2 linked regions of the Styela clava genome follow. Each later gene encodes a partner of the first gene's protein in a complex. Links are inferred from orthologs where the notes say so. Each region holds a gene or a part of one and is shown on either strand. Other genes may lie near its edges.

Evidence for each region.
Region 2: microfibrillar-associated protein 1-like (region 1) and zinc finger matrin-type protein 2-like share a complex: the UniProt entries of both Homo sapiens proteins name them as parts of the spliceosome B complex. The link is inferred for Styela clava from reciprocal best matches to the Homo sapiens genes MFAP1 and ZMAT2.

What each region holds. Positions count from the first base shown.
Region 1 is NC_135261.1:7,095,007-7,098,639, forward strand, and holds microfibrillar-associated protein 1-like, read right to left. Parts: upstream 2,646-3,633; 5' UTR 2,592-2,645; coding exon 1,173-2,591; 3' UTR 553-1,172; downstream 1-552. UniProt on the Homo sapiens protein: Involved in pre-mRNA splicing as a component of the spliceosome.
Region 2 is NC_135251.1:24,961,485-24,965,244, forward strand, and holds the start of zinc finger matrin-type protein 2-like, read right to left. Parts: upstream 2,209-3,760; 5' UTR 2,084-2,208; intron 1,522-2,083; coding exon 1,343-1,521; intron 948-1,342; coding exon 533-947; 3' UTR 1-532. Other genes in the region: uncharacterized protein LOC144419940, read right to left, coding at 3,613-3,726. UniProt on the Homo sapiens protein: Involved in pre-mRNA splicing as a component of the spliceosome.

The DNA of each region.
Region 1 (3,633 bases):
TGGATGAGATTATTTTTTGTGATCCCTTGCGCAACGATATGGCTCATCGTACTAAGCGTTAGGAATACGCTCGCCACCGCACCCCCGATTACTCTGCGTGGGTTCGCAGGTTCGAATCACATGCTGGGATGGTTATGTGCGAGAAGATTGCTGAACTCCTCGCCGCCGCGGTTCACGTAAGCTCTGGTCAGTTCCGGCTTCCTCCACCATCAAGTCCATGGTTCCGAAAACAAATAACTAACTAATCCCATACCCGACGTGGAATGGTAATAGGACGAGAGGCCGTGGTTCGACATATGGTTAAGCCGTCCTATCGGCTTTCCTCTCCCTGGGATAAATATGTAAATCCTATCCAACGAGTTCGGCGCAGGATGTCAATGCATGCCCCAAATTGTAATAAACCTCCAGCAGTATTTTCTTATCCACTGGTATTTTCCCACCGCACTGGTGTTTTAGGTCAGTTAGTCTTTGTGCATGCAACCCCACTCCATGTTACAATGCGTTTATTTCGTTACCTGGGAATTTATATTAGAACAAATAAAGAAACGTACATACAAAAGTGCTTTTATTCGATCAGTTTGTAAACTGTCGGCATACCCTCCAATTCAGTAAAGCTTTACATATCTGCAAATTATTAGGGTATTTTTTGCAAATGCAAATATCCAAATACCACATTTTCACTTTATTTTTGAGGTGCACAGAAACCGCTATTATATAAAGTACTTCATGAACGGGTAGTCAGTCAATCAGTATCAAAAAAGGGTTGATATTTCCACGATAAAAAGCTATATGTTTACTACATACCAGAGATGGCCATTGAAAATGAATAACAATTTTGTCTTAATATATAGTAATGGAGATATCTTTTTACAACGGTTACAGATAATGGATTTTGTATAATTCATTCCTTGACTTTCCTTACAAATTGATAAAAATTTTCAATAAAACTCAAAATAAATATTCTATTCCATAGTGAAAGCTCTTGAATTCTAACATTTTTGAGAAATGGAGCCATAAAGTGAAAAAAAAATGAGAGCCCGTTTGCACAGTACAACAAATTATTTGAACCTTATACCGTAAGTTTGCCACTTGGTAATCTTACGCTCCCCATCTTGGTCCTACAACCAACCAAGGATGTTCAAATTAAAACCAAATACAACATAGGTAAAATATTATGTTTTCCTTTGTTTTCCAGAAGGCCGTTCGAAATTTTGTTTCATTCCGCCACCTTTATTAGACATAAATTTGCCTGACAAAGCGTTATCTTGATTCCAGGGGGAGTCGTACACTGTAGTGTCCTGATCAAGTAAATGTGTGTATTTGGTTCTACCAGATCGGCCAAAGTTTTTAACTTGCATGACTTTAGGTAAAACAGATTTATCGAAATGATCTTCAAGGGTTGGATTCGTAATATCACGTTTTAGTGTATCATCTTCTTCATCAAGATAAAAGGCACCACGATGATAATATTTTTGTAAAAATTTGTATTTTCCTTTTTGTAGTTGATTGGTAACGACCTTTGGATTGTTACGAAGTTCAGCTTTACGTTCTTCTTCCGTCATGTTTCTCAATCGTTCAGCTTCTTCCTTTGCTTTCTGTTCAGCTTCTCTTTCATCTCTGTCACGTTTGATTCGTTTTAACTCCCGCAGTTTCCATGCTTCATATTCGTCCTCATCGTTTCCATCGTCAGAATCGACCATTTTAACACTTGCTAGGAGTTTATTTTCTTCGTCGACCTCCATACGAGCTTCTTTTTCGACGAGTTGCAAAGTATATTTTCTTCTTTCTTCCATGACTTTACGAGCTTGTTCTTCAGAATTTTTCAGTTTTTCTTCTTCTTCACGTTCTTGAATGGTTATTCGATCTTTCTTTCTAACGAAAACAGGTTTTAATCTTGGTCCTTCATCCTCGGAATCTGAATATTCGGATTCCGAAGTAAATTCTTCATCATCGTCACTGCTTTTCGCTCGATCCATTTCTTCTTCTTTGATATGTACTTCTGATGTCTGTTGCACTTGATCGAAAAGTTCTTCTTCAGTCTGTCGTTTTGCTTGTACTCTTTGTCGAAGCAACATTCTTCTATTTTCTATTTCATCATCATCTAAATCCTCATCGTCACTGCTTTCCTCTTCAACAACTGTAACTTTTTTTGAATATGGTTTACTTTCTTCTGGTTCCGAATCTTCCCCTTCACTGATAACTTCCGGTTCGAAATTGCGCCGATGTCTCAACCTATCGCCTCGTTCTTGTTCTGTCGGACTTCTATCCATGAGTCTTTGTAATCTTCTATCGACAACAGATTTTTGAGAGTGAGATTGTTCTCCTTGATCTCTCATTTCATAATTAGTATCCACATCATCTCGATCATAATTTTTATTTTCAAATTTTCCTCCCTCGTCGTCAGAATCTCTATCAAGATCTAATTCTGGAGCCCATTCAGGTTTTTTACCGGCAACATATCGCTTGACTTTTACTTTTTTCATTGAAATTTCACCTTTTTCATTTCTAATTGAAACCGCACCAGCCGTGAACATGATTGGCTGAGGCTTGGAGGATTCCTCCAAAAACCTCTCTTGACCGAGAGTAAACATCTTGTAAGTATTTCCTAAAGTTATAATGAAGAACCTCTAGAGAAGGAATTTAATAATTAGTTTACTAATATTATAATTCTTATTATACAAAATCGCTTCAAATTGCTAGCAAACTGGGTAAACCCCAAGAATTTAGATTGAATGAAATTTGCGATTACTGCCAATTGTAAAAGATTTTTAAGAATAGCAGTTTGCAGAATATAATGATTTTGGTTGAGGACAGTGTTTCGCAATATGCCCCTCCCCCCACCCCGCCCTTCCAAATGCTCTGAACACTTGTGGCCCACTGATGAACCATGAGAACACCTAGTTTTAATTTTAACGGATTTCCATCATTTTATATGCCATGTAATAGTAAAAAATGCCAAAAACCAAAAGAATAAATGGATTACAGCAAAAGAATTACCAAATTACAGTCAAATGTACTTCAGTTTAAATTAATATATTCATCTCAAATACTTTGAAGGTTTTTGCTTGAAGCCCCAGCTTGAGAAACCTTGGTAATAATATAATAGTTATACAGTAATACAAGAAAGGCGATGTGAAAAACAGTAAAATTGAATGTTTTTGACATCAATAATCATACTGCAACGATGGAGTGAACAACATTCAGACATTCCAATACCTGAATAAAGCTGAATAAAAGTGATACAACTCTGCAATGCTCTTTTGACTAAAAGTCTTATAATAACAAAACGGAGTGATACGAATAGGATGGCCATGTCAGCATGCATACCAAAATTAGCGACAGCTTGAACTTGTATTTTCATAGAAAAGTTCTAAACATGGTCTTCGAGGCGACCAACTTTCAGAAACATACCGGTACCGTTCCAGTAGTAGATTATGATCATATAGCCTATCTGTATATTTCGGTACAACAATTTGACCATCCTGTGCGCAAATTATAGGAAAAGTCACCAGCCAGCTAGCGAAAACAGTAACCCAATCTAATAATTTACTTGTCATTACTGCAAGCACAAGCCAGGTAGAAAATTTCCAACTCCTCCAGACAGTGAAGCACACTAGGTACCGTACTGGTACC
Region 2 (3,760 bases), on another chromosome or scaffold:
AAATTAAAAACATCAGAATTTGTAAAAAAGTGTTACTTGGTAAAGACTGTTTCATCAGAATACTCGGGTATATTTCCATTGTCAATTCCAAAAAAAAGAGCTAAGATTATTTACATCCACAACAGTGATACAATAGTTTGAATATTCATAAACTTAAATTATTCCATATTTATCTATCATGAGCCACTGAAGCGTTCTACTTGGGGCTTTGTCAAATCGAACTAACACACAAATTTGAAACATTTCCTTTCCATTAGGATAAAAATGTTATAGGTCATACGAATTAAAAAATACTATACCTCCATATGACTTCTGACCCAGTGTATAGTATAATAAACTGGAAAGGAAATGTTGAAACTGAAAATTTGTGATGCTTGTACAATGCTTTCGAAAAAAAAAACAATACCTAAAAATGCCAGCACTTCTGATCAAAGGAATATTTGAGAATAAAAAAGTAATCTGTAAAATTTTATACCACAATATCTGGAATTGTGTACTTGAAAATACCACAAAATACTGTGCAAGCCAGCTGTCATCGTTTCTTGCCACCACCAAATCCTCCAAAACCCATCATGGCAGCAATGTCAGAGTCATCATTCGACACTTCCAATTCTTCCTGTGCTTTTCGTTTTCTCTTTTTCTTTTCTTTCTTATAAGCTTTCATTTTTTCCTCTTCTTCCTTTAGTTCCTTCATTCTTTGATCAAAATCATATTGCTTCTTCTTTTCTTCCATTTTTTTCTTGTTCATTTCAAATCTTTTTTGCACTTGGGATAACGTGGAACGTTCAACTTTCATTGACATTCCCATATTTCGTTGATGTTTTTTACCATTAATATGATCCAGAAAGTTTATTGAGTCCTTAACAACACAATCACATACATTGCAATAATATCCTCCGCAATCTGCAGCTGCTGTTGTTTTACTGATTACGACAGATTTGTTGAGTCTGCATTAGAATTACAAAAATGAATACCAATGAGTTCTTTACTTTTCAAACGCAGTTATAGACAAAATTATCAAAGAATTAAGAGTCACTCAATCATATGCAAGATAGTACCGATACATTGCAGCATTGTAACCACTAACAAGTGACAAAAGTAATGATTTCATTTTGAGTTGCAGTAAAATGTGAGCAATTGAGTCTGAAACTGGTACGATATCCCTATTAACATATATGTTGATATGCTCTATTTATATTTATGCCATTAATTATAAAATTGAGTCATTACAGAAGTCTTCAGCATAAAAAACAAAAAGCACAAAAATCATATAAATGTTCGCATTGGAACTGAGAGTTGTACATATCGAATAACAAGAAATCTGGATTTTTAAAAGCCTTACTTGGAATCTAAATCAACTTTATAATCTCTTGCTTTTAACAAATCTCTTTTCACAGGTTTATCTTTAAATTCCTCAGACTTTTCATTCTCTTCATTCAGTCGTTCCAGTGCAAGTTTTTCATATTCATCTCTGTCCCATTTCTTCCTGTGGTCTTCATAATCAGATGATGTAGCCTCCATCTATAATATTTCCTATAACTATAGATACCATAACAGTATAATTTAGAAGGTAACTCTGTTTCTGTGAACCACTCACAGATTCAGTTAGACTATATTAAAATACATATGGTAGTCTACTACTATAAACTACTGAACGTTCACTGAACTACTGATGTTTGTAGTCACTGCAGTACAGAAATGTATGTTTACTTTTTAAATGCAGACTTTTTACCTGCCATTTCGACATTTACGTCTGACCGTACCGGTACGGTCTGACGGCACAGAATGGCTAACTAACCCCATACGGTACTCCAGTAATCAGATACCCGACATGATTTTTTATGACGTTTTTGTACTAAAAAAAAAACTAATCCTACAGAGCGGAGGATCTCCTAGGATTCAGATATTTTATTCACGTCGTGCATGAAGGAAACCTAACATTATACGGTACCAGCATATGGGCAAATATATAGACAGTAGAATTTCAGTGAAACACACCAGTAACCGGCAACGACTAACATACCGTAACCGGTTAACCTCAGAGTGACGTTTGACGTAATAAGGTAAATTTAGGATCCCTTACTTTACAATGGTTTCAGAGCAATTTCGCAGTTCTGGCCCACAGAAGACTCAGCAGGTGTTTTCCCGAGCATCGACTTATTTGTTTACTTCGTGACATAAGCCAATCAGCAAGATGCAAAAAGGGACGTAACAATGCCCATTTTCGCATCAGCTCAGACACTTTGTCTTTCAGATAGATTTTCAGGCGTGGTGAACATTACCTCGTTTTCGCGTTTTTTGAAATCTATTTGTTAGTTTCCAGTTGTGTTTCGGATATTTAAATATATATTAAATAATTCAAGGATCACGTTGTCTTCTTAGGAGTTTCAGTTTAGTTGCAGTAATCAAAAATTAGTGTAGAAATAGCTGTGATAGACTAGGCTAAAATTCTTTACTAGCACTTTCAAAGAACATATTGTTCCCACTTTACAGGCGCCAAATCGCGAAACCACTGTTAAAATGAGCACCGACAATTTTGCAATGGTTAGGTACAAAGTGACATAGTCACTTTGGCTAAAATAAGCTATCAGTACACCTGTAAGCGGCACGTGGTTCGATAATTTTTTTTAATAAAACTGATGGTTTCAAAATGTTTAGGGAGAATGTTTTAAGGTATATCACATACTGAATCGGCACTCTGTGTATATATTGAATTGTTGAATAATGCTGTCCGATTAATATTTATTTTTTTTTTGATTTTTTATTAACTTTTACATATGGATGTCAGCTTAACTGTATTATGTCGAATGTACATTCTGGTGCTGTCATTCAATTCATCATTTTTACTTTTAAACCCGTCATCTCGCTGAAGTGGAAATCGCCATGGTAGCATCAAATCATGGGGCTTTTGTAGCCTACTTAGTAAAATTGTTGGCCTTTTTCGTCTTAATTTGGCTTTTTTTCATCACTGGGATCTGGCAACCCTGCTTTGGCGGCGGCCTTCTCTGACAGTAACTCGGCGAAGATTGTTGGTAATTTTGCGCTATGAGAGCGCTGCGTTCTTCGTTATGGCGTGCCCGCAAATCGCCATATAATATTGATCGGACTTTCCGACGTGCTTTTCCCCAAAGCTTGCTATAGATTATAGAAAATATTTAATTCGGTCCAACAGAGGTAGTGTAGGCCACTCATAAATAACAAGATAAAATACTGAAGATATAATGGCAATCTGAAAATTATGAACACTGTCGTATTGGATCCTCATTTCACAACAAGGGAAGTTTTGTGTACAATGAGCGTCCATACATTATATTGCCTAAATTTATTAAGATTTATACTAGTTACTCACAGCGTTTATCTCTATCCTACGAATGGCATTGCGAGGACTACGCACTGAAACCAGAGGGTAGTAAATATTTGTAATATTACTCTCATGGAAATACTGACTATATCACATTAGCAACTACATTTAGGTTTGACTTGCTTACAAATTATGGAAAAGTTTGCTGTGTCTGTTCAACAACAATAAATACTACTAATACAACAAAATGTTCTTGTGCTTAAATTTAATACATTTTTCCATCGCAAATTCACGTGATGCATTCAAATGATTCAAAGCACTTTATTGAGACGAACGTCCTCGGCACACATTCCAGGCTCTATTGTGATGTCATCAATTGCGAGATCACCTCGAAAATCATCTCCTCTTGTCATGACAAGTTGGACCTATGAAAAGTTGAATGTTAACAACCTGATCTGT